7 linked regions of the Ovis aries genome follow. The protein of the gene in region 1 interacts with the protein of each later gene in a biochemical or structural test. Links are inferred from orthologs where the notes say so. Each region holds a gene or a part of one and is shown in the gene's direction. Other genes may lie near its edges.

Evidence for each region.
Region 2: the proteins of TJP1 (region 1) and CLDN1 form a complex in vitro, tested with the Homo sapiens proteins (2 studies listed by BioGRID and IntAct, with this or other methods). The link is inferred for Ovis aries from reciprocal best matches to the Homo sapiens genes TJP1 and CLDN1.
Region 3: the proteins of TJP1 (region 1) and CLDN2 form a complex in vitro, tested with the Homo sapiens proteins (2 studies listed by BioGRID and IntAct, with this or other methods). The link is inferred for Ovis aries from reciprocal best matches to the Homo sapiens genes TJP1 and CLDN2.
Region 4: the proteins of TJP1 (region 1) and CLDN8 form a complex in vitro, tested with the Homo sapiens proteins (2 studies listed by BioGRID and IntAct, with this or other methods). The link is inferred for Ovis aries from reciprocal best matches to the Homo sapiens genes TJP1 and CLDN8.
Region 5: the proteins of TJP1 (region 1) and CLDN7 form a complex in vitro, tested with the Homo sapiens proteins (2 studies listed by BioGRID and IntAct, with this or other methods). The link is inferred for Ovis aries from reciprocal best matches to the Homo sapiens genes TJP1 and CLDN7.
Region 6: the proteins of TJP1 (region 1) and JAM3 form a complex in vitro, tested with the Homo sapiens proteins (2 studies listed by BioGRID and IntAct, with this or other methods). The link is inferred for Ovis aries from reciprocal best matches to the Homo sapiens genes TJP1 and JAM3.
Region 7: the proteins of TJP1 (region 1) and KIRREL1 form a complex in vitro, tested with the Homo sapiens proteins (3 studies listed by BioGRID and IntAct, with this or other methods). The link is inferred for Ovis aries from reciprocal best matches to the Homo sapiens genes TJP1 and KIRREL1.

What each region holds. Positions count from the first base shown.
Region 1 is NC_056071.1:26,237,855-26,241,354, reverse strand, and holds part of TJP1 (tight junction protein ZO-1), read left to right. Parts: intron 1-2,145; coding exon 2,146-2,321; intron 2,322-3,500. UniProt on the Homo sapiens protein: TJP1, TJP2, and TJP3 are closely related scaffolding proteins that link tight junction (TJ) transmembrane proteins such as claudins, junctional adhesion molecules, and occludin to the actin cytoskeleton.
Region 2 is NC_056054.1:197,851,246-197,855,219, forward strand, and holds the start of CLDN1 (claudin-1), read left to right. Parts: upstream 1-1,174; coding exon 1,175-1,397; intron 1,398-3,974.
Region 3 is NC_056080.1:128,411,158-128,415,203, reverse strand, and holds CLDN2 (claudin-2), read left to right. Parts: upstream 1-1,246; 5' UTR 1,247-1,384; coding exon 1,385-2,077; 3' UTR 2,078-3,966; downstream 3,967-4,046. UniProt on the Homo sapiens protein: Forms paracellular channels: polymerizes in tight junction strands with cation- and water-selective channels through the strands, conveying epithelial permeability in a process known as paracellular tight junction permeability.
Region 4 is NC_056054.1:126,338,464-126,342,410, forward strand, and holds CLDN8 (claudin-8), read left to right. Parts: upstream 1-1,339; 5' UTR 1,340-1,541; coding exon 1,542-2,219; 3' UTR 2,220-3,447; downstream 3,448-3,947.
Region 5 is NC_056064.1:26,860,628-26,863,989, reverse strand, and holds CLDN7 (claudin-7 precursor), read left to right. Parts: upstream 1-1,218; coding exon 1,219-1,441; intron 1,442-2,242; coding exon 2,243-2,407; intron 2,408-2,528; coding exon 2,529-2,613; intron 2,614-2,699; coding exon 2,700-2,862; downstream 2,863-3,362. UniProt on the Homo sapiens protein: Plays a major role in tight junction-specific obliteration of the intercellular space.
Region 6 is NC_056074.1:30,404,147-30,407,605, reverse strand, and holds the end of JAM3 (junctional adhesion molecule C), read left to right. Parts: coding exon 1-130; intron 131-530; coding exon 531-630; intron 631-1,673; coding exon 1,674-1,803; intron 1,804-1,886; coding exon 1,887-2,025; 3' UTR 2,026-2,195; coding exon of another isoform or gene 2,196-2,231; 3' UTR 2,232-2,959; downstream 2,960-3,459. UniProt on the Homo sapiens protein: Junctional adhesion protein that mediates heterotypic cell-cell interactions with its cognate receptor JAM2 to regulate different cellular processes. Plays a role in homing and mobilization of hematopoietic stem and progenitor cells within the bone marrow.
Region 7 is NC_056054.1:108,440,894-108,444,393, forward strand, and holds part of KIRREL1 (kin of IRRE-like protein 1), read left to right. Parts: intron 1-333; coding exon 334-484; intron 485-1,484; coding exon 1,485-1,590; intron 1,591-1,749; coding exon 1,750-1,898; intron 1,899-2,060; coding exon 2,061-2,188; intron 2,189-3,006; coding exon 3,007-3,181; intron 3,182-3,276; coding exon 3,277-3,377; intron 3,378-3,500. UniProt on the Homo sapiens protein: Required for proper function of the glomerular filtration barrier. It is involved in the maintenance of a stable podocyte architecture with interdigitating foot processes connected by specialized cell-cell junctions, known as the slit diaphragm.

The sequences.
Region 1 (3,500 bases):
AAATTTTCAAAGTTAAGATGAAACAAAGGATCACTTGCATCAAATGGAGTCAGCCACACAAAGTTCAGTGTGTTCTGAAGGGAAATGTTAGCTGTGTCATACTTACTTGATTTCTGTGGGTGTTAAGCAGTTCAGCATGCATGCTATCCAGCCTGGGGTGTGTAGCTTTGTTCTTAGACCCTGGCGTCATCTGTGTGAGCTTCTTACATTAGAAAAGATGTTAAATGTCAAGGGGTTCTAAGGGTCCAAATACTTTGACAAAGGTAAGAGGGTGAGCATTTAAGAGACTGACCTTGAAGTCCCTCCTTCCCACGTGGCACACTCAGTGCTGCTTCTTGGCATTCTTCTTGGTTTTTGTTCTTTAAATATAAAAGCAGGCTATGCTAGGGAGTGAAGAGTTGTTTGGTGTTCTCCCAAGGCAAGAACAAACTTGCCTGCTATCACTGTTTGAGCTTAAGGGGACGTAGTGACTTCTGGTCCACTTGTCAGCGTGGGGCGCTGTGAAGGGGGCAGCACAGGGCCTGAGCTCTGAGGCCCTGCCCATCGTCTTCCTGTTCCGTGCTGCACCCTTCTGTTTGCTTGTCTACTGGGCCTCTGGTTGCTTTACTTTTTCGTGGATTTTGCTGGGTTACAAGCTACAAGCTCACCTGTGCCTTTGTGGGTTCCTATGTTGTGTGTATTCTGGTTCTGCCTCTGGTTGAGCCCTGACTGGGGGCGAACTTCATTCTGAGAATGGAGTGTAATCGCACACAGGCACAGGTGGGCCCATACCTGAGCAGAACAGACTCACAGTAATGAAGACAGACGTGGATGTGTTACGAGGAAGTCGTTTACACAGTGTTGGTAAGCAAGTCCTAGGTCAGCAGGAGAGGGAAATTTGGAGCCGTGTCTGAGCTGAGAGAGGCTGTTGTGTCCTCTTAAAAAGCTTCCCATCTAGATAGTCTCTTTTGGGACCCCTGCAGTAGTAGTGTTTGAATCAGTAACTAGGACTGTTAACTACCAGGACTGGTTCAGTGTAGCCAGGTTGAGACATGGACAGAACATGAGGTAGAAACATAGTTCTGTTTGTGGCAGACTTAGATTGACTGTTTTCTTTGACTTTGCTCTTGTGCTGGCTTTGCCACCACCTAAATTTCTTGGCTCTTAGACTAGCTCTGACTGCTGGTCCAGGAGCATCCGTGTAAGACACTAGTGTGAGCTACGCCATGCGGGCCCTTCGCAGTGCACACGTGGCTGACTTCCTGTCCTCCTAAGGGTGTAGTTTTTTGAGTTGACCATGCGACTGGACCGTGACCAGAATCTGTGACCATTCCAAGTTCTGTGCTACCGTGTGTGCGCGTAAAGCAGGTGCAGCGGGGCTCTGCAGAGCTCAGGTGGCAGCACTGCGATTCTGGGTCCTGTTGTAAAGGTGTCTTCTTTGTGAATTTTATGTATTCCCATATGAACAGTTGGCAATCTGAAAAAAAAAGCATACATGGCACAGTTTGATTTAAATGAGTCTTAAAATCAAGCAGTGTTTGCTCCTCTAGGAATTGCTAAACAGAGAATGGATCTGGTAAATCAAGGGCAGATTTAAAGACCACAGTGTCCATGTTACTGGACACAGCAGAGTCCTGTCCCTTAAATGCTGCTTTTGGCTGCTTTTGGGCAGAGTTTGAGGAGCTGTGAGAGAAACTGTGTGGCCCAAGAAGCCGAAACATTTCCTGCCCAGCCCTTAGCAAAAACGCCTGCTAGCCCCTGCTTCATCCTCTAGTGCCCAGCTGGTGCCTTAGATGCAAAAGCAGATGGGAATCTAAGGAGGATTTGAGCCAATAAATGTTTCGTCAAAATACTTACCAACCATTGCAATTTTTTGTGAACAACCATCTTCAGTATTATGAGTGTACCGAAATTTCATCTGCCATTTGGTTGCCATCTTCTGGATGTCTTACTAATATTCTTACTATATCTGTGGTGTTTTCACCTCTCTGGGGCTGATGATGGCTTAACTTAGTTTGTGTATTTTGGTAGAGTACCCATACTCATAGGGAATAAATTGTGAAATTCTCAATTGAAAGCAAGCAACTTGGGGATGCCTAGAAGGATGGGAGCTTCCTTGGTAGTGTGCGTCATCTTCAGGTGCTGATGTGTCCTCATTTTTCACAGGGGGAAGGCTGCTGAGGCTGAAGCTGTGGACAGGTCGTTCGGGGAGAAGCGCTATGACCCACTGCAGGCGACGCCCCCACCTCCGCCGCTGCCCGCTCAGTACAGCCAGGGTGCTCAGCCCAGCGCCAACACAGCTCTTGGCCTCCATGCACACACCAAGGGGGCTCACGGTGAAGGTAGACGGCTCAGGAGTGGGCAGACAACTGTTACAGTTAGACTTATGAGGCTAATGTTAGACTCGTGCTTTCTAAGTAAAAGTGGGTTTATGTAAGAAAGACACACTTGAATCCTATGGGCTTAGGACAGTGAAAAATAAGGATTTTGTTAAAAGTACATCTTTTTCATGACTGTTGCCTTTTAGCTAGATAGAGTTTATTCTGCCTAACACAGCTCAATTTCTGTACGTGGAGTTTACCAGTATGTCCAAAACTAAATGAAGGGTGGTTTGTAAAAATCATGGTGACATCCCTCCTCACACGAGGTCTCTCAGCAGGGCCATCTTGGGGGTGTCCCTGCGTGTCTGCCTGTGTCTTGTCCTCCACATCTGTGATCAGTAAACTGTCTCCCTCGCCCAAGGCACTGCCCCCACCCCCCTTCCTGCTTCCTTCAGCTTCCTCCTGCGTCTCAGCAAGTACACCTCTCCTGAGCCTCCCGCCATCTTTCCAGCCTGCAGCCTAGACACCCTGGGAGGGCCTGTGGCCCCACCCCCACCCCCTGTGGCGCCCTCCCAGGACACACACGGCGCACGTCTCGTCGTACGTCCCACTGCTGCAGACGGTGCTGCTCTATAGTCACCGGTGTCCACTCCCAGGGCTGTGATTCGATAACACTGTATGCTAGGATTTTCTTTTCACACGGTCATGTCTGCAGACAAAGTTTAACTTTTTACTCTCCAAACCTTATGCCTTTCTGTTGTTGTTTTTTGCCTCTCTGCAATGGCTGGGATGTGCAGTGCTATGTGAATAGAAGCGATAATAGCACACCTCTTTTGCTCCAGCTCCCACTTTGGGAGAGCAGATGGGCAGTGTGTGACTTCTCTGGGTGCCCTTCCTTCTAGTTTGCTGAAAACATTCTATCAACTGACTTTATGTGCAGTTGTCCTTGGTATCTGCAGGACGCCCCTACTCTGCATGCGGAGCAGAAGTCCCTGGTGGGACTGGTGCAGTACAGCGCCCACCCCCCGCTCGGGCTGCACATCCGAGGATACAGAAGGCCAAACGCACTGTAGAGGATCCTATGATTTATTTCCTTTATTTTGTCCTGTGATAAGTTATATTACTATGCTCACAAAAAATTTTCTTGTCCTTGTCTGGTTTTGGTATCAAAGTTGTACTGGTCTCTTGAGAGCTGGGACA
Region 2 (3,974 bases), on another chromosome or scaffold:
AGGGGTGGGTAGGCTGTATTTCCATAAGGATGGGTGTGTGTGTTCAGTCAAGTCCTACTCACTGAGGTACTTTTTGAGACCCCATAATCTATAACCAACTCAGCTCCTCTGTCCATACAATTTTCCAAGCAAGAAAGCCAGAGTGAGTTGCCATTTCCTTCTCCAGGGGATCTTTCAGACCCAGGGACTGAACCCGTGCCTCTTGCCTTTCCTGCATTGGCAGGCAGATTTTTTTTACTGCTGCGCCACCAGGGAAGCTCAAAGGACATATATTTCGGTCAAGCTAAGATGTAGTTGGGCAGAGTGGGCTGAGAACCAGAGTACTGCATATGCTATCAACTTGCTCTATGGTCTTACGGAAATCACGTTTCCTCTCTGGGTCTCCGTTTCCTAATAAATAAAGTATCAACATTTCTTTTATGATTCTAGGAGAGATCTCGAATGGAAGAAAGGGCATTGGGAGGAAAGGAAAACGGGGAGGAGGCTGAACGGAAAGGGAGGAAAGTGTGTGAGGGAGGTTAGAGGGGTGGTGAGCCATAGAAATGTCTTTTAATCAGCGAGGAAAAAGTCGAAAACGAAACTGTGCGTCTCTTGAGGTCTTAATTTTTCATCTTGGCATTTTTTAGTGTTTAGTCATACTTAGTCATTTTTGGATAAATGTGGATTGAATGAACGGAAAGCCTGGGAAGGCTCACAGAGGAAAAGGGCAAGAGGAGAAAAGAGAGGAAATGAGCAGCACCGGGACACGATGCGTACCTGATCCTTCTCGCGTCCCCACTTGGCTGGCAGAACCTTCCCGCCAGAGTTCGGCCCCATCTCGGGCTCCCGCGCTCCCTCTCGCTTTCCAGCAACCCGCCCGGAAACCGCCAGAGGGCGCTGCGCTCCTGGGCGGCGCTGCGCTCCTGGGCGGAGCTGCTTTAAATCGCGGCGCCCAGCGGGTCTGCATCTCAGTCGCGGTCCGGGAGCAGCCTCAGCTTCTCGCCTCCGAACCGCAGCGCCGACCAAGAGGCGGACCCGGTCCCAGAGCTTCTCCGACGTCAGCGCAGGGGGCAGGGTTACCTGCAATAACTTCCTCCGCTAGGCTCCGTCACCCTCGGGAGTCCCGGGTGAGCACCTGCAAACTCCGCCTTGTGCACCTGCTGCCCCTGAGCCAGCGCGGGCGCCCGAGCGAGTCATGGCCAACGCGGGGTTGCAGCTGCTGGGCTTCATCCTGGCGTTTCTGGGCTGGATCGGCTCCATCGTCAGCACGGCGCTGCCCCAGTGGAAGGTTTACTCCTATGCTAGTGACAACATCGTGACGGCCCAGGCCATCTACGAGGGGCTGTGGATGTCGTGCGTGTCGCAGAGCACCGGGCAGATCCAGTGCAAAGTCTTCGACTCCTTGCTGAATCTGAACAGTGAGTGCCTTCCCCACTCCCCAGTTGTGGCTCAGGGTGGTGTAATGTTAATCGTTCAATCGTGTCCAACTCTTTGTAACCCCACAGACTGTAGCCCGCTAGGCTCCTCTGTCCATGGGCTTCTCCAGGCAAGAATACTGGAGTGCGTCGCCATTTCCTCCTCCAGAGGATCTTCCCCACCCAGAGATCGAACCCGGGCCTTCTTCATTGCCGGCAGATTCTTTGCTGTCTGAGTTACAGGGACCCAACCCCAAATGGCTCTCTTTTGGAGTAGTAGCTATCAAAAGGTTCTGTTGTGTGATTACATGTCTGTCAACCTTCAGTGGATCAAGTCTTCTGACCATGTGCCCCGCCATAAGGTAGTAGAGGGAACCGTGGTTTGGGGAAAGGGCCAACCAGACCTAAGCTCTAATTTTTCCTCTAACTCCCTAGGTGACACTCTTCTCAAGGTGTGAGTTTCAGCTTACATACCCATGAGTGGGGTGGCAATTGAGCGAGTGGGAGCCAAACTCGAATTTGAGCTCTTAGGCCTTTCCTGGACATTCTCAGATTCTGTGAAAATTGAAGAACTGTAGGGTTAGGACAAGAAAATGATGTGCCTTGAAAAATCTGGAGTCCGAAAGCTTCTCCAGCTTGTAAAATTAAATAGATAATGCCAGTTATTAGATATAACTTTTTTCTCTATCTTTACTATGAGTTATCATGAGAAGAAATCAGAGTCCTACATAGACTGTCTCAACCTAGTGTCTTCTCACACTTGAGTTTGAATCTCCTGATTCTTTTGACTTCTAAGATCCAGTTAGTGTGAAGGGGGCTTCCCCAGTGGCTCAGTGGTAAACAATCCGCCTGTAGTGCAGGAGACCTGGGTTCTATCCCTGGGTCAGGAAGATCCTCTGGAGAAGGAAATGGCAATCCACTCCAGTATTCTTGCCTGGAGAATCCCATGGACAGAAGAGCCTGGCAGCCTACAGTCCATGGGGCTGCAGATTCTCAGATATGACTGAGGGACTAAACAAGTGTGAGGAAGTCTTTCCCTCCAGTGACTCCTTGAAGAAGTAAGTCTCTAAAGATTCCCCAGAAGGTTTAGCTCTCAGACCAGGAGTCTTCAGAGGAGGAGATTGTATAGTCTTATTTTGGAAAGTGAAGGTGGGTGGCAGGTGGAAAAAGGATGAGAAGAAAGAGAAGTTCAAAATTACCTCTCTCCGTTATATAAAGGGGAAAATGAAGCTAAGGAGATACAGCTGATGAATGCAGAGATTGGGAGAGAGAGGGCAGGTCTTCTCTGAGTTTCTGTCTTCCACAGAGGAATTTCTATGTAACAAATGTTGGCTTCTTTCTTTCATAAGTTTGGACAGGATTATGTAGAGAGAAATAGTCCTAGATGTGATGGAGAGAAGAGTGACAGGATGGATTTTTTCTTTTATTGTTTTTTAAAACAAAAACTTCTGAGTGTTTTGTCAGAAATTCATTAAATTCCTGCTTACTTAGGTAACAACAATTCATGGCTAGAGTAGCTTCCTTGAGATATGACATTAGTTGTCCTGAACTTGTGTCTGTCATGCACTTGAACTAACTTGAATAAAAGCTTCCTTAGCCTTTGCCTAGACAAACAAGCCTGCCCACCAGTCCCCTTTGTGTGCTGACGGTAAGCAGTGTTCAAGTCGTCGCTCAAGTTTACTTCAGTTGCTTTGTCCACCTCCTGTGTGTGGTTTTGTCAAAAGCCATGCCCTTTAGAGTTGTTCACTCTGTTTCGAATCTGTTTAAAACTCTCGAGTACCTGTGGAATTTGTGAGTCAGTGTACACATGGCGGTTTTTAGTGTTGCCATCTCAGCTTTTCAGAGTTCCCATATTAGGATTCTTTCATACCAAATATAAGGAGTACATTAAGTATATGACTTTATATAATCATCGAATCTCCTCATGGATGGATAAATACGTGTAAGGAATTGTACAGCATCTGGCATGTCAGATTGAAGAACTGGCAGATGGAGATGGTTGTAAGGACAATTCCAGATAGATCTCTGATTCCTCTGATCAGAATGATTCATTTTCTTATTTTTAAGTATCTTTCAAGTTATGTTTATTCAGCTGCCCTGGATCTCAGTTGTGCCACTCAGGATCTTCAATCTTTTGGGGGGCATCTTGGATCTTTTACTTGTGGTATGTAGGATCTAGTTCCCTGACCAGGAATCGAACCTGGCTCCCCTGCACTGGGAGTGCAGTCTTGGCCACTGGACCACCAGGGAAATACTAGTAGTTCATTTTCAACATGTGCAAATAGACTTACCTTCCTTAAACAGCCAAATGAAATCAGATCAATCCATGTTGTAAATACCAAAATAGGTTATTCCTACACATGAAGATGTGTTAAAATGTTTTATTTTCATTTATACCTAACATAACTGTTATGATTTTTAAAGCTGTGGTGGAAGATCGGAACACTACCTTTCCTCTACCCATTTTGGAGATTGCTTTCTGATTTTTTTTTTTAACTCCATGTCTATTCCTATTTTCCTGTTGGTTAATGCCAGAGTTTATCAAAGGTGGGGCTGAGGCCTTTCTCTCAAAACTGACTC
Region 3 (4,046 bases), on another chromosome or scaffold:
CTCAGGAGAAAGGTCTATGCTGGAAACACAGATTTGGGAGTGCCAGGGGATGGGTAGGAGGTTACATCATGGGGATGGATACATTTGCTCAGGGACAGAGTGTTGATTGAGGAAAGGATGGACTTTCAAATACTCACATTTAAGAGATGATTACACTAAGAACAGTCTTGAATAAGGCTAAAATTGAACAGCCAGATTTTGGTGGGTTGAAAAACAAGTGGCTCAGAGGGTCTTGAGGTGGATGGAAGCAAGGATGTGCCCTTGACCCTTAGTGTCTTGAACCTTGGTAAGAGTCAGGGGCGCCGGTGGGGGACGCTCCTTGAACACTTGAAAACCCTGAGCAGCTCTGTGATTCTAAAGGATTGACTTGGATGACTGCCTCTTACAAAGTCCTCCATTCTGGAGCAGCTGCCTTTTCCTCTGTCTACCTTAGTGTCCCTAGCAGATAGCCCAGGAATGTCAGGGCTCCCTCTAGGCCCTGGAACAACCTTCACTCTTGAATCCTCCCACAACTCCTGAGAGGCCTACGGGGTGGTGGCACAACTATTAAGAGAGCAGACAGGAAATGTCTGGGTGTGTGATACATGTGGGAGGCCTCAGGCTAGCCTGTGGAGGAGGACTGGGGCAGGACTGGAAGGACTTGAACTCTGAGAGTGTGGACAGATGCCCCGTTGTCTGCCCCGACCTGCCCTGGAGTCGACTTTAACCTTGGACAGGGTGACCCAGGGCTATACCACTGATCTCTAGGCTGCTGTAGAGTCAAGAGGCCTCTGAGAACATAGAGTCCAAGGTTATATTTAAGGGTCTGTTCTTCCTGCTCCTTTGCCTTGGAATTTGGCCCCAAGGTACAATTGAGGGGCCCCGTGGCACCACTGCTGGGCAATGCATTAAACCGTGGGCCTTGGAGACAGAACCAGCTGACAGCGTGATCTGGAGTTAACATAGTCACCACAACCGACCCTGCCGTTGCCACCTTCTCGGAAAGCAGCCACCTGTCTGGCTCTAGGTTTTGTCTGGCTGCCAATATAAAGCATGTGCCTACGCAGGAGCTGATGACATTTTGGCTCCACTTTCAAAGTTTTTTTTTTCCTTTGTTTCTCATGTGTTTTTTCTAAAGATAACAAAGGTCAAAAGGCACCCAGCATTTTCTGGTTTCTCATAAGCTTCTGGTCAATATTTAATCTGGTTTATGGATTTTTTTTTAAGTCTTCTAGATGCCTTCTTGAGCCTGCTTGTGGCCACCCACAGACACTTGTAAGGAGGAGAGAAGTCAGCCTGGCAGAGACACTGTGAAATGAGGGACTAGAGGCCGGGATCCAAGGAGCCAAAGCTACAGCCAGCAGACAAGGGAGCCTGCCCTGAAGCCGCGTGTGAGAGGTCTGCCATGGCCTCTCTTGGCCTCCAGCTTGTGGGCTACGTCCTGGGCCTTCTGGGGCTGTTGGGCACCCTGATTGCCATGCTGCTCCCCAGCTGGCGAACAAGCTCCTATGTTGGTGCCAGCATTGTGACTGCAGTTGGCTTCTCCAAAGGCCTCTGGATGGAGTGTGCAACACACAGCACAGGCATCACCCAGTGTGACATCTACAGCACCATGCTAGGCCTGCCCGCTGACATCCAAGCTGCCCAGGCCATGATGGTGACGTCCAGCGCCATGTCCTCCTTGGCCTGCATTGTCTCTGTGGTGGGCATGAGATGCACAGTCTTCTTCCAGGAGTCTCGAGCCAAAGACAGAGTGGCGGTGGTGGGCGGAGTCTTCTTCATCCTTGGAGGCCTCCTGGGCTTCATCCCTGTTGCCTGGAATCTTCACGGGATCTTGCGAGACTTCTACTCCCCGCTGGTGCCTGACAGCATGAAATTTGAGATCGGAGAGGCTCTGTACCTGGGCATTATTTCCTCCCTGTTCTCCCTGGTAGCTGGAATCTTCCTCTGCTTTTCCTGCTCACCCCAGGGAAATCGCTCCAACTACTACGATGCCTACCAGGCCCAGCCCCTGGCCACTAGGAGCTCTCCAAGGCCTGGTCAAGCACCCAAAGGCAAGAGTGAGTTTAACTCCTACAGCCTGACAGGGTATGTGTGAAGAACCAGGGGCCAGAGCTGGGGGTGGCGGCTGGGTCTGTGAACACCAGTGGACACCCTCCTCTCCCAGGCCCACAGGTGAGGGATATTGGCACTGGATCGTGTCAGAAGGTGCTGCTGGAGATAGACTGACTTTGGCCACTGGATCAAACAAAGGCAGAAACAGGAGCTGGTGTGACAGCATGCGGGTTAAACTGTCAAGACTCTTGCTAAGCCAGACTTTCTGTTTCCTTCATCTTGGCACCCTCCACCCCCCAGCCCTCGAATACCCAACCCTCAACTCCAGCCACCCCCCACCAGAAGCCAGGCCCCAGCATCTACCCTTTACCCTTTGATTTACCTGGGAGTCCATCCAAAAGCCCACTAAGTACGTCCCACTGACTGACCCTCTCTGTGATCAAAGACCCTTCCTCTTGCTGAGGTTGGCTCTTAGCTCATTGCTGAGGGATGGGGGTGGGTGCGAAGGGGTGGTGGCTCCTGTGGGCATGGCGCTAATCTCCTTTGCAGGCCTCCCTCCAAACAAACTGATTGGCCAGTAATGGGCCCTGGAGCCTCCTCCATCCCACTCTTATGACTCCACATGTCTAGACTCAATGTGTCTAACTGAATGTGTATGAACTGAAATAAAGCCACCCCACTGTACTGAGGGAACAGAGAGCAATGGGGTGGAGGATGAGAGGGCAAGGACCAAAGCTGAGGATCAAAAAAAAAAAGAGGCCAAAATCTCGGCCCAGGGACCTAGCTCCCAGAGAGAGGAAAGCACAAGGAAAGAACGTGCGACAGAGCCCTCAAGGCGGCAGCAGGTTCTGACTGTACCGAGGCGCTCCCTCAAAAGCTACAGCGCCAACTTGCACTGAAGCCCCCGTCTCCCTCTGACCTGGCGTCCTGCTAACAACAGGTGAAAGGGCCTGCACAATGGTTTCTGTAGAGAAAGGAAACTGGTTTGGTTTAGAGATGGCCCTTGGCTGGGGGTGACAGCCTGGGAGCACGGGTGGACACGGGTGGGAACTACAATGAGTGTTTCTACTGGGCCAGAGAGAGGCAGCCCCCGGGAGAGTCTTCAGGCTTAATGGAGAAGCAGTCTGGAGACTGAGATCAGGCCCCCGAGGTCTGCCCACAGAGCACAGTAGCACCTCTGAAAGACCACAGCCCCAGATGAGCCCCTGTCAGTCACCTTCCTGTTCTCCCCACCATCCTTTATCAGACATGGTGGCATTGCTAGAAGGCATCAAATGGCTCCAGCACGGAGTCATCCTGACCCAGGTGCCGTGGCCCTCATCTGAGTGACAGCTGAATTGCCACCTGGGATTTTGGTTGAGATGGAAGAGTAGAGGATTCCCAGGCAGACAGTTTCAGCTCCAAGATTTCAAAATGCCCCCTTTCCCCTGGGGGTGGAGGTGGGAGTGACAGGCACAAACAAACCAAAGGCTTGAGCATGACTAGCTTCTGACAAACTCCAGTACACTGCCCTAAACCGCAGCGCCAGCAGGAGGGGTCCAGTCATTGCCTGGAACATGTCTTTCACAGTTCTTGCCTGTATTTAAGCTCCTCTCCCAAGCAGGAAGGCCCTCTCTCCTTAGCTAAGTTTTCCTCATGCTTGGAGAAGCTGCTTGGCACCGCTTCCTTCACCGAGCCTCCTCTGACCACTCCGTCCCTCTCCTACCCCTCCATCCTCCAACCCTCAATGTAAAAAAATCACTCTTTGATGCTTATTATTCACAATGTTTGATGGATAATTATCTTTCTATGTGTATGTAACCGATTTCACAAGTACATTGTAAACTCTTGAAGGGTAGGGTCCATATCTTAGCCATGTGTATATTTCCCAGACTGTCTGTAAGAGTGCTGAGCACATAGTAGGTGATCAATAAACACTTGTTGATTGAACAACTGTTTTATTAATTCTAATTAATTCAGACAGGGCAGGTATGACTGAGGGAACTGGGCGAAGGGGAGGGTAGAATAGAAAC
Region 4 (3,947 bases), on another chromosome or scaffold:
GTACTGTTTTTTAAAATCTCTATATCTCTATGAACGACTCAGATTTTTTGGCCCATTAAATTTTCAAAGTTTAACAAGTGAGCAGGAAACACACCCTTCCATACCCTGAGTTAAGCTAGTACAAGGAAGCAGAGAAGTAAAATTGTAAACAAAGGATCTTTTTAAAATGCACAAATGAAAGGAAACTAAAGTTTGAACTTTGGAAAGACAGGACAGTGTATTCAAGGTATTCTCCAGAAGAAAACTGCAGGTGGAATTTTTCAAAATCAACACGAATGTTTAATTCCATTGCTGTCATCATTATTATTTTGAGACGAAAAAGTCCAAAAATCATTTACGGGCTTCTACCTCCTACTGTAAGGAAACAGTCGAATACGACAGCACAAGGCACATCCCGCTCCTCTTGAAGACATGGTATTAAAGACGTGTAATTGACAGATTTAGCTGATTTGCTGAATATAGTCACTTTGTCATATAAATTTTTATTTAGAAATATCAGCCATTTGTATAGACCTAAAACTTGCACCAGTTGCAGAATTCTAGTTGCTTAGGTATAAGAAGACAGAAAAGATAAAGCTATAGAATGAGATAACAACCTGAAAGTCAATCCATCATTTAATTACTATTGTGAGTACTTGCTACATAAGAATCCAGAAAAAAAAAAAAAAAGCAGAAGAAAGTCACATGGATTTTTTTCTCTTGTTTTGTATTTCTTTTTCCTTATAAATTAAGATTATCATGTATATACCAATGAGTGGTTTCCCTAGCTCAAAAGAAAACAATATGTGCTTGGTGCCATGGAGGAGGACAAGAGTATGTATTTAATTACTTTAGCCTTATTTTGTCCCTTGGCAAGATCTATTCCCTGATTTCACCCCAGTCAAGCTTGCTTTGAAGTCGCTGACAAATTAAATCAACCACTTGGATCATATGTGTCCCAAAGAATGTGGTTTCTCAGGTATGAGCAATCTATCAATCCCCTGGTCTCCTTTCACTTTGGCATTCTGACAATCCTAGCAAATTCTCAGGCAAAGATTGCAGCTTATGTTTTGGCCACAGCAGCCCTTACTCAAAGTTTCAGAATTGCCAGTTCAAGGTACAACTTTCACATCTCAAGGGACTGATACATTTCTTGACGATTGCGCAAGCATTCTTAATTATGCCTCCAGGTAAACATACTGCTGTCTTCTTGGACAACTGAGAAGTACAAAGAATGTTTATGTGCAGGTCCAGTTCTTCCAAGTATTTCTTGTGGGCTTAGACACACCTGAGTTACCACCCCCCTCTTATTGGCTGAGAAAGTTGCCCCACCTGATTTGTAACTTTACCCGCCACAGTCAGTAGCTGGGGGCACCTCCGCCAGCCAACACTGGATTTAATCTAGTTAGAAGTAGCCAGGCAGCTCTTGTTTGAAAAAAATCACTGAGTTCTGAGTTCATTACTACAGAAAAACTGCTCTCCCTCGGTGCGCAGAGAACCTGGCTTCAGAGCAGCCTCACCAGCTCAGGCGTCTGGTCGGATAAAACCCAACCTGGAGGAGAATGGCTACCTACGCCCTGCAAATCGCCGGACTGGTGCTCGGTGGTGTGGGCATGGTGGGCACAGTGGCTGTCACAGTCATGCCTCAGTGGAGAGTGTCTGCCTTCATTGGAAGCAATATTGTGGTCTTTGAAAACCTCTGGGAAGGACTATGGATGAGTTGCATGAGGCATGCTAACATCAGAATGCAGTGCAAAATCTACGATTCGCTGCTGGCTCTCTCTCCGGACCTACAGGCAGCCAGAGGACTGATGTGTGCCGCCTCCGTGCTGGTCTTCCTGGCTTTCATGACGGCCGTCCTCGGCATGAAGTGTACCAGATGTACTGGGGACGACGACAAGGTGAAAGGTCACATTCTGCTGACCGCTGGAGTGATCTTCATCATCACTGGCCTCGTGGTGCTCATCCCCGTGAGCTGGGTTGCCAATTCCATCATCAGAGACTTCTACAACCCAATAGTGGATATTGCCCAAAAACGGGAGCTGGGAGAAGCGCTCTACATAGGCTGGACCACGGCCCTGGTGCTGATGGTTGGAGGGGCGCTGTTCTGCTGTGCTTCTTGCTGCCATGAAAAGAGCAGTAGCTACAGATACTCCATACCGTCCCACCGGACAACCCAGAAAAGCTATCACACCGAAAAGAAGTCGCCGAGTGTGTACTCCAAAAGTCAGTACGTGTAGTTATGGCTCTTTTTAAACTACCTAGGAAGCCACACAGATGACATAGATGTCCACTCTTTCCAAAACTGAGACCCAAAAGAACATTTGATTGGCTGTTCTTAACCGCCTGGTCTTAATCACAGGAACTAATTACATCAGCTCTTTATGATTCTATAATCGATTTCAGCTGAATGAGAAATTGTACACATTGCTAGGATTATTCTAGAAAGAACAATTTGTTTCCTAAAATGGTTCATATTTTTTCTCCTTTTATTAGTTACTTCAAAATGACATTGTTAGAGACAATTATTTTACAACTGTGATTTCTCTGACAGAGCGTTATGTATATAGATGAGTGTGACATTTCTGTGTCACATACGTAGAGATGGGTTTATACAGTCTTATTTTAAATGAAACACTGATTCATTACACTGAATAAATAGAATTCAACTATTGCTTTTCAGGGGAACCAGGGGTAAGATTGAAGAAGGTTAATATTAATTGTTTAAAAACAACTTAGTGATGAATGCACTTGATTTATAATGAAGGTTAAAATGAAAGCTTTAATCAGCAGGGTAAAGGGAACTAAATGGCTTTTTGATATCTCATTTTTCAGCCTAGGAGTTAGAAATCCAAATTCCTTTCTCCTCATTCTCCAGAGGCCTTCCTTTTCTTGTATATTAAATGGTCATCTTTTAAAAGCCAGATATTTTGTCAAGGGGCTTTGCATTCAAACTGCTTTTCCAGAGCTATACTAAGAAGAAAGATAAAGCTATAGTCTAAGAAATATTAAAGACTTCAGGAAAGTGAAGATTTTTTTCCTCAAGTTTTTGTGGTTGGAGAAGGGTACATTTTGACAAGAAATATTATATATATATGAATATTTTAATAACTATTTGTATAGAGACTTTGGACTTTCATTAATATAAATAACAGAAGAGAAAAATTCTATACCTTTATTTGATTACCAAAAGAATGAAACCAAATTGTCTTTTGTGAACTGCATCTCCTTATATGTGGACATTTAAGTCAAAATTATGATTTCAGTTTTCAAAGGTGAAATTTTTATTTGTTTCAATTTTGTTCAGTTTTACTAAGGTACAGGTATACTATATCTTTATGTTTCCCCCCAGATTTGATTGAACTGTTAATCTGATTCGAAAGTCTGTATACACATCTTTCTAGCTTAATTGACTATGTGTATCTGCTTTATGTCCTTTGTATTAATAAATTGTGCTTTTTATATTAATTTGATATCTTTCATTTTTCTTCAGTTTTTAAATATTTTAATAACTTGTAAAGAGTTTTTAAAAACCTGATATTTTCAGCTTTGCAGTTAAAAAAGGCTTTCAAAATTGCATTTTAAAGATAAAGATAGATTCAGCATTAATTTTTGAGAATAGAGTATTATATATCATTTATATATCATTATATATCATATATATCATTTAATATGATATACTTACAATGATTGGATTCACACACTAGTGTTTGATGTTGATAATATATTTGTAATTTTTAATGTTGATAATATATTTGCAAATACTATAGGTTCCAAAAATCTATACCCTGCATATATTATTATGTATGTAATAGCTATTTATGTACAAACTTTCCATAGGGATATATAGTCCTGCCTCTGAGAAATAGTATTAATTAATAATAGTGCATAATGTTTTAGGGACATGGGTTATAAACTAAGACCTCTACTGTTTTAAATGAATTATATCACTAAATCTCTTATAAGAC
Region 5 (3,362 bases), on another chromosome or scaffold:
AGGACCGGCTGGAAAAACTCCAGGGGAAGAGAATGGTGGGTGTGGCCAAGACTCTGACCCAGGCCTTACCCTGCTCCCTCCCTTCGCTGGATTCTGGCTTCAGTGGTTTCTTCCTTCTGCGGAAAGGACACTTGAGGCGGGACGAGACTGTGACTGCGGGGCGGGGGGGTGCCAAGGGCCCCGCCATTAAGTCATGTCCAGCAGAGATCGGAATAGGGGGCGGAGGAGACGGGTGCTGGGGCACCGCTTCTGGAAGCCAGGTGTCTGGTGCAGGCGACTGCGGTGAGGGGCGGTTGGGCGCTAGGCGGTGGCTCTGGCGGTGGAGACTCTAATTAGACGGCTGAAGTGGACAGTCCTGAGGGGTCCCCGGAAGGTGGGGTCGGCGAGGAAAGGAGACTGAAGAGAAAAACAGTAGAACCGAGGGTGGGGGCGAAAGTAGGGCGGGATAAAGAGCGAGTAGAAGCCGAGAGTCCCTGCGGGGGGAAGGCGGAGCCAGGGCTAGCCTGGGGCATCTCTCCCGCTCAGGCTCCGCCGCGTTCCTGGCGCACCTGTCCGGGAGCGGGGAAGGGATGTCCTTGCGCCCGAGGGACCTCCAGTCCGAGGGGCTTCCTCAGAACTCGGGACTCCCGAGAAGACTCCACCTCCCCCCTCCAGCGGGCCGAGCCCAGTAAGTGAAGGGGCGTGACGCTGGTGCTCAGGTTTCTTCCTCCACACCTGAGCCAGGAGGGGTGGGGGCAAGGACTTCCGGCTCAGGTGAGTGTCCCTTCGGTGACGTCAGGTCACCCTCGGCCGCCCCTCGATCACTCCCTGTCTCGCGCCCCCGACGCCCTACTTATACTCAGGTGCGCAGCACCTGTCCGCCCGCACCTGCCCGCTCACCGCTGAGCGACCTTTAGTTGGCACAGCAGCCTCGGGCCGACAGCCCAGGATACTCTGGGGACTTCCAGCACCCGGAGGCCGCGCCCGTACGGCCCCTCCACCTTTTGTTTCGGAAGAGTCGCCGAGCGCCCGAGGGAGCCGCCAGGCCTTCGCGGATCGCTTTTGTCGGTCACCAGTCCTGTTCCCCTCTGCCTTGAGACTCTCGCCTCGCCGGAGGGGTCGGTTTGTTTACTCCGGAGACCAGATTTGCAAGCAGTCGACCAACAACTTCTTTTTTGCCTCTTTGGGTGACTTAAAAACTCGCCCGCCAGGCGCCCCTCGTCTATTCTGAGGGCGGAAATGGCCAATTCGGGCCTGCAGCTGCTGGGCTTTTCCATGGCTCTGGTGGGCTGGGTGGGCCTGGTGGCATGCACCGCCATCCCGCAGTGGCAGATGAGCTCGTACGCTGGCGACAATATCATCACCGCCCAGGCCATGTACAAGGGGCTGTGGATGGACTGCGTCACGCAGAGCACCGGCATGATGAGCTGCAAAATGTACGACTCGGTGCTCTCCCTGCCGGGTAAGACAGCGGGACCGACGGGGCGGATGCTCCAGAGCCGGGGTCGCGGGGTGGGTGAGGGGCCGGGCTCGAGGCCCCACGGCCCGACGCGCTGGGTTGCGCGGTAGCGCGGCTGGAGAGGAGGAAGCGGTAGGGCTGAGGTCCTGGGACTGCACGTGCGCGGGTCCGGCTGAGCCCCTTTTCGCCCGCGGACGCGCCTCGTCTCCCGGCCGAGCGGCCAGCGGACCAAGCCGCTCCCAGTAAGCTGAGTCCTGGGGCGCGGCCTTCCCCTCCCCCTACCCCGAGGAGGCCAAGGTCTTCGCCATCTCCCGCCCTTTTCTCGGACAAAAGGCGGCGCGGGCTGGAGGCCGCGGGGTTGGGCTGGGGGCCGCTGGGTCGAACCAAGGGCCGAGGAGCCTCGCCTCCTGTTTGCCCCCTGGGCCGCCGCCTGCGGCTTCTAATCTTATCGGCCGATTAGCCGAAGCCACAAACCGTGGCCTCGATAGTGGGGTCAGAGCTGAGACGAGAGCCAGGACTGCGGGCGGCCCCGGGGCTGCAGCCACCGCTACCGGGGCTCAGGTCACCACCTCTGTTTTCCTTCGACGTCCACTTTCACCCTTCCCCCTCCGCGGGGGCAGTTTCATCGAAACCCAGGCGCCCCGGGCGGATCCTAGAGCCGAGAGGGCGGGGCAGAGCGGGAAGGCCACGGAGTCTTGAGGGGGCGGGACCCGCCGGCTCCGACCTGGGACTCGGGGTCTGAATCGGTCCGAGGGTCGCCCCGTCATTTCCAGCAAGGATGGCATCCTTACCCCTTTTCCGCAGCGGCCTTGCAGGCCACTCGAGCCCTAATGGTGGTTTCCCTGGTGCTGGGCTTCCTGGCCACATTCGTGGCCACGATGGGCATGAAGTGTACAAACTGTGGGGGAGACGACAAAGTGAAGAAGGCCCGGATAGCCATGACGGGAGGCATCATTTTCATCTTGGCAGGTGAGCCACAGGTCCAAGGTGGGGACAAGGACTCTGTTAACCATCCTGAAGGGGTAAGTGTGGACACAGTGCGGGTTTGGGGGGGTGGCTCACAGTACCTGAATCCCCATTTTTTCCCCAGGTCTTGCTGCCTTGATAGCTTGCTCCTGGTACGGCCATCAGATTGTCTCAGATTTCTATAACCCGTTGGTCCCCATGAATGTTAAGTAAGTATGAGAGCCCTATCTCCTAAGGGGTCTGGGGTTGGGAGAGGCAGGCCAGGGTTCATGACCGCAATCCCTTCTCTCCACAGGTATGAATTTGGTCCTGCCATCTTCATTGGCTGGGCAGGGTCTGCTCTGATCATCCTGGGAGGTGCGCTGCTCTCTTGCTCCTGTCCTGGGAGTGAGAGCAAAGCTGGATACCGTGCACCTCGCTCCTACCCTAAGCCCAACTCTGCCAAGGAGTATGTGTGAGCTGGGACGCCCCTGCCCCAACCTGGCAGCCTACAGGTGCCTCCTTATGAAAGGACCTGGGGCAGAGAGCTCAGCCTGTGGGCAGGGTGCCAAGCAAAAGCCTTCAGTCACTCTAGCCCAGCACACCATGTACAGTTTCCTGGGGGGTTGGGTGGGGGGGACAAAAAAGGGAGGGTGTGCTTTTTGTACAGTAATAAAAATGTTTTGGAAAGTAGGCTTTTTTTCCATCCCCTTCAGGGCATCTGCTTCCCTCATCCACTCCCAGCCTCCAGTCCTGTCCACTTTCGACTTTTGCTTAAATAGCAACCAAAGAACTTTTTCTTTTAATACAAAATAAAATATTTTATTAGGGTTGGGTGGAGGTGGTGTTCCTATCCTGTCACTTTCTCTTATGCCTCCAGCCCACTTCTCACTGGAAGCTGCTCCCTGGCTCATGGGTCACAGGGCAGGGCCTCCATAGAAACAGGAAACAAAGATGGAGCAGAGACAGGCTAAGGCCA
Region 6 (3,459 bases), on another chromosome or scaffold:
GGAGGGCGAGGGCTTCCCACGGCCGCACTACAGCTGGTACCGCAACGACGTGCCACTGCCCACAGACTCCAGGGCCAACCAGCGCTTCCGAAACTCCTCTTTCATCTTAAACCCTGAGACGGGCACTCTGGTAAGAGCTCTGGGAAGAGGTGCGGTATGGGCGTCTGTGCTGTGGGCAGAGCTCCTGTGAGCAGACAGGAGACCAGAGCTACAGACCCTAATATCAGGAGCCACCCCCACCCCCCGCCCTTTATAGACAGGAAAGCCTGTAAGCGGGTGCAGGAGGGCAGGCAGAGCTGAGGGGACAGTAGCCAAGGGGAGTGCAGGGCAGCCTGCCCAGCGCCATCCGGAGCAGAGTCGGGAGGCAGTGGGCCTCGCTCACTGGCCACACAATGACGTTGCGACACTGCTGGTGTGTGCAGGCTGCTCGTGTCGTGGGCAAGACTGAGCCACATTGTCGTGTTTGGGGACAGCCCCTGGTGGGCAGGTGGGATGGCACTGGGTCTCCCTTCACTCCCGACCCCCGGCAGGTGTTCAGCGCCGTCCACAAGGAAGACTCGGGCCAGTACTACTGCATTGCATCCAACGACGCGGGCTCGGCCCGCTGTGAGGAGCAGGACATGGAAGTGTGTGAGTGTCTGCTGAGCCTCGACCCGGGGGCTGGCAGGCTGGTCATGCTCACTCTGTGGGGCGCATGGGCTCCCTGGAGTCTGCCGGGTCTGGTGGGAGGACCCTCTGAAGGACTGACCCACGGGTTCTCTGCTCAACCCACAGCTTTCACTGAAGTATCCTGAACTCCATTTCTTTGGTAACTGATAGAATCATGGAAACATAAGGTTGTGTAAGGTCTCTAGGTATTTACCCAGTCTGACCTTTTTGCAGTAAGCGGAAACTAGGGCTCACCACAGTAATTTATGCTGTTGGGGTGATTCTTCCTCTGGGCTGTCAGGGCTCAGTGGAGGGGGGCAGGGTCCAGGGCCCACCCCACCTGTGGAACCGGTCCCCAGGGGACTCCCCGGCTGCTGCCAGATTTGGGGAGCTGATCTTGGGCAGGAAGAAGATTCCTGGGCTGTGCCCCAGAGTTCCTGACCTGAGAGAGGGAGCTTGGAAACTGACGTTATGAAGTCAGAATTCAAGTGCATCTTTAAGTAACCATGTGCTCACGTCCAAGAACCCTGTGCCAGACAAGGGAGAATTGCAGCAGCCCCAGCCTGGACAGCACTGGTCGATAAACACCTGCGTGGCTTCCACTGTGCTGTTACCTGCACAAAGCGTGCAGCCTCAGGCCCCACACTGCAGCTCGAGAGTGCAGCTGAGGGTCTCCTTGAGGGACGGCTGGCGGCTGCAAGGCCACGTTCTTACCTCCTAGTTGCCCTTTTAATGGCCACTTGAAACTAAATAATCTTCAACAAAGAGAAGCCCTAGAAATTTAGGGGTTTTTCTTCCTCAGGACTCTGGCTCCTAGTTCTCCTCTGTAGGGGAGCCATTTCTCAGTAAGAAAGCTCTAGGATGTGCCCAGAGGCTTGTTACTCCCCATAGCGCAGGCCATGCTCTGTGGCTGCAGCAGCTATGGTGCAGCAGGTGGGTGTCACAGCCTGTGGGCAGAGCTGCTCCAGACCGGGGGCGGTGTTGGGAGGTGGGGGCAGCATCTTCTCACCCCTCGCCTTCTCCAGATGACCTCAACATCGGCGGCATCATCGGGGGGGTCCTAGTCGTGCTGACCGTCCTGGCCCTCATCACAGGGGGCATCTGCTGTGCCTATAGACGTGGCTACTTCATCAGCCACAGCCGGAACGGGGAAAGGTGAGCCTGTCCTGCGTGAACAGCGTGCCCTGAGCATTGCTATGGCCTGTCAGGCGTCACCCAGCTCCTCTGCTCTGTTTCAGCTACAAGAACCCAGGGAAGCCAGATGGAGTTAACTACATCAGGACAGATGAGGAGGTAAGGAAGCCTGGAGACGGTGACTCCAGCAGGGAAGATGGCATCCCCCCAAAAACCGGGCGGGTCCCTGGGAGAGAGATTTGAGTTATGTCCAGTACATGAGCCCCTCAGCATGCCCCCAGGCGGTGTGCTCGTGGGGCATTTGGTCTGCAGGCCTTGTGGCCATTCCCATCCAAGAGAGCATTGAGGGAAGTGGTGTCAGGCTCCTTTCCCACCTGCTGGCCACCCTCTAACCTGCTGTGTTGGCCTTTCAGGGCGACTTCAGACACAAGTCCTCGTTTGTGATCTAGATGGTGGCACAGCTGTGTGCACACGCAGACACCTCCATGGGGAACACTGCCAGGAGCAGCCCTGCAAGGGGCGCCGGATGGGGCTAGACACGCGCACAAAAGCTTTTGTTTTGGCCAAAGTTGACCGCTACTCCTTTCTTACTTTTTAACAAGCTACATGAATAAAAGAGTTTTCCTGGAGATGAGCAAGTCACCAGAAGGCGAGGAAGTGGCCGGGTTCACGAAGCCAACCCCGTGGGGTCTGCCGGCCTTGAGGTGGGCCACCTGGGCTCAGGAGGCATGGTGACCTGTCCCATGGTGGGGCCACGCCAGCATGAGCATCCAAGGCTGGCAGCCAGGGTCATGACCTGAGCCTTGGCTGCAGTGACGGGGCTTCACGGTGGCCCCGGGGCCACTTCATCCCCAGGCTTTGCCAAGATAGTCCTGGTGTCTACCCGGAGGATTCTTTTTGGGTAAGCATTTTATAACAGCAGCCCAAATCAGGACAGTAAACAGCTTGTTAGAAGGAGGGATCTTCTTAGCTGTGGGAACCCTGCTCATCTATAGAGGGTCCCAGCATTGGAGAGCCTTCATCTTGTGCTGAATCTGAAATGGTACTGACATGATGTTCTGCTTTTCTATGGGTGTTTATTTTATAAAATTTTACAGTCTAAATTTTTGCTAAAGATGTATTTTGATTATTGAAAATTTCTATTTAAATTGTAAATAAGTTGTCATATGCTGTTAAATACTGTATCTTTTTTGTTTTTTTTAAGTTCAACTTAAACTAGGAGCCCAAACTGCTCCTGTTCAATTGGAAACACCACTGGTGGCTTAGGAAACCTTTGAGAAAACTCCAGCTGAGTAACCTCATGGTCTATTTGTGTCTGTGCAGAAGAGACGCAGGGCTCCTGGGTGACCTTCCCTGGGCCTACCCCCACCCCTACCGCAGGCCCTAAGACACAGGTGCGCCAGCCACACGCCTGTTCGGAGCAGTATTGGCTCCTGAGTCTCCAGGCCAGCCCTCCTGCCCTCATCCACCTGATGCCACGACACAGGCCGTGGGCGGAACAGCTCTGACAGTGCCGTTCACCTGCCATGTAGGTCCACCCAGGATAGCGCCAAGGGGGCTGGAAGAGTGGGGTCCTCCATGTGGCCCCCCAGCCTGGCTTCCCTGGGCCCAAGTTCTGTGGCTGTGCGTGGCTCAGTAAACCCAGCAGCCCTGCTGTCAGGCCTTTAAATTCCTTCT
Region 7 (3,500 bases), on another chromosome or scaffold:
CAGGAACGAGACTTAAAACGATGGAGAAAACTATACAACACACAGAGTGAACTCTAATGTAAACTGTGGCCTCGGTTAGGAATAGGGTATCAACGTCGGGTCATTACTTGTATTATGTATCAGATGTAACATGTATCACACTAGTGCATCATGCTAATAATAGAGGAAACTGGGGTTGGGGAGGAGGTAGGGGCTGGGGGAAGGGCAGAGCTTCAGGTTAAATGCCCCTCCAGCAAACCTAGCTCTGTGTGGGTCACTCCAAGAGCAGAGGAAGGGGCTTTTAGCTTGACCGTGTCTCCCACCCTTATTCCCCACCTCATCCTCCCGCCCCAGGAACTGCTGAAGGATGGGAAGAGAGAGACCACCGTTAGCCAGCTGCTCATCAACCCTACAGACCTGGACATTGGGCGTGTCTTCACCTGCCGCAGCGTCAACGAGGCCATCCCCAGTGGCAAGGAGACGTCCATTGAGCTCAACGTGCACCGTGAGTAGGGCCCCCGGGGGAGGCGGGTGGGGCCGGGCGGGTCAACGAGCACCCTGGGGGGTGGCACCCTTTGGGAAGCACAGAAGAATCCCCCAGGGGCCCCGGGACAGATGCTCCGTTCCTTTGACCTCTTCGAGTTCCTGCTTTGAACTGTAGGCTTTGAGAGCTGGCACAAGAGGCATCAGCTGTGAGCCAGGCAGTTCCCGGGTTTAGACCGTGTGACTTTGGGCAATGACGTAATCTCTCTGAGCCGTAGTTTCTAATTCTGAATATGTGCAAAAAATAAAACGCAGGCCTACAGCTCCTTATCGGAAATTCCAAACCAAAAGTGATTGGGTGGCAAAACCTGAACGGAAGCTCTTTGTAGTCTTTTATTTAATAACTCAATAGGAATAGCCATACATTTCACTATTAATGTGTGTTTCTATGGGATGTTGCCCAGATTCTGCTGGGGGTCTTACACAGTAAATGGTCTGTGGTCATCATAACCTTTCTAGCATTTGAAAATTTCCAAATTCTGAAACACATCTCATTCCAGGGGTTTCAGATAAGGGATTGTGATGACCTATACCTGCTTCTCAGGGTTGTGAGCGTTAAGTGAGATATAGTGTAAGAGCATCTCACATGGAGTATGCTACTGGGTAAGTGCTCAATAAATTCCCACTGCCCAAGAGTGGAAGTGTGGGCAGCAACTGGAGAGACGCCCCACCCCCATCCTGGCTAGTGAGCCTAGCGAACCCACACTGACGCCTAGTGGTCACAGTTGGTCACTACACCATCTGACTAATTTGTCCCTTTGGTATCATCCTTGGTCCTCACCCTAGCCGGCCCCTAGAGGCTCCTGGAATAAAGGTGAGGAAAGCTTATTTACTGGAGCTGGTACACTGCAAACTCAAATTCCCAGATCACCACACGGGTGAGGTCTCAGTGTATGTGCTAGAGAGAGAGAAGAAATTTGAGGGACAGAAAAGATCCTGACCTGCCGTCCTCTGCTTTGCAGACCCCCCTACGGTGACTCTGTCTATTGAGCCCCAGACGGTGCAGGAGGGCGAGCGTGTCATCTTTACGTGTCAGGCCACGGCCAACCCGGAGATCCTGGGCTACAGGTAGGAGGGGAGGGGCGGGGCGGGGGCATACCCTGGGGAGGGATACTGGGAGGCCCTTGAGGTCCAGAGTGGGGGACTGGGGAAGACAGGCCGCTGGATGTCGGGGAGAGGGCTCCAAGAGGGCTCCAAGGCCTGACCCTGCTGTGTTGCCTCCTCCAGGTGGGCCAAGGGGGGCTTCCTGATTGAAGATGCCCATGAGAGTCGCTATGAAACCAATGTTGATTATTCCTTCTTCACGGAGCCCGTGTCCTGTGAGGTTCACAACAAAGTGGGGAGCACCAATGTCAGCACTCTAGTCAATGTCCACTGTGAGTAGCTGCAGGGGCAAGGGCTTTAAGGGACCTGGGTTGGGGTGGGGGAGGCTCTGTGGGGCTGAGAGACAAGGCAGGAGGATTGGAATTGCACCCCCCCCCCCCACCTACCCGATGAGCTCAGGACCCTGATGATCTGTTTCTCCCTTTCTACCTCAGTTGCCCCTCGGATTGTAGTTGACCCTAAACCCACGACCACAGATATTGGCTCTGATGTGACCCTCACCTGTGTCTGGGTTGGGAATCCCCCCCTCACCCTCACCTGGACCAAAAAGGACTCAAACATGGTAAGAAGCTCTCCGCCTCTCCTGAACCCTGGGCGGTAGAAGCCTGGCCACAGGTTGGGAAGAGAGGGGCTCAGGGGGCACAGCATTCTTTTTCAAGTTGAACCTGGGATATTTCCAAGTTCTCTGGATTTGGAAGAGAAGGACGGTGCTTGCAGTCAACCCCACCCTTCATTGGCAGACAGCTGGCTGCTTCAGTGGCAGTGAGAGGGACAGTGACCTGTGGGTGGGATGGGGAAAGGGGGCCGGACTGGAGCTGCTGCTTTGGCAAGATACCTGGTCAGTGAATGCTGCATAGGAGGGTGGAGTGGCCAGGGTGATGCGCTAGAGAAGGCTGAATTCTACAGCTCTGCAGAGACCTACTGGAGAAGGCTCTGGCACCCCACTCCAGTACTCTTGCCGGGAAAATCCCCATGGACGGAGGAGCCTGGTAGGCTACAGTCCACGAGGTCGCAAAGAGTGGGACACGACTGAGTAACTTAGCAGCAGCAGCAGAGGCCTATATGGGACAGTTTGGGCCAGAGTTGCAGAAGGAGGGATTTTAGAGGGAAACTTCCTCATTTGGCAAGAGAAACACTAAGAGAGGCCACCAGCAGTGGCTGCATCCTCTTTTAAAAATCACGGCAGCTTCACCTGCCCTCATGCACCTCCACCCAGGTCTGCCCGCTCTTACAGAGATGCTGTGTCTAAATGCTAACCTCTTTAGAGTCAAGGGATGGACCAGATAAGATTCGGGACTCTGCTTCCCTTCTGGGAATTCACTTGTGGCCCTTCCTGCTTTCTTTCCAATGCCTCCAATGTGGGGGCCCACACGGATCTAGGGGCCCAGGCCTCCTGGCTCCCCACCCGAGGCTGCTCTCTCTGCCCAGGTCCTGAGTAACAGCAACCAGCTGCTGCTGAAGTCGGTGACCCAGGCCGATGCCGGCACCTATACCTGCCGGGCCATTGTGCCTCGGATCGGAGTGGCCGAGCGGGAGGTGCCACTTTACGTGAATGGTGAGGGGCCTGAGGAAGGCGGGGGGTGGGGGGGTGCCCAGGGGCGGGCTGCTGGAGGTTCCATCTGGGCCCTGACCCTGTCCTCTTGCTTGCAGGGCCCCCCATCATCTCCAGCGAGGCCGTGCAGTACGCCGTCAGGGGCGACGGCGGCAAGGTGGAGTGTTTCATCGGGAGTACGCCACCACCAGACCGCATTGTGAGTGGGCCAGGCCTCGGGCCAGCTGCTTATTTCCCTACCTGCCTCAGCCTCCCCTCCGGCTTTCCCAGGCTCTTCCTATGCCCTGCGCTTCTCATCCCCTGACTCTGTCCCTCTCCCTGC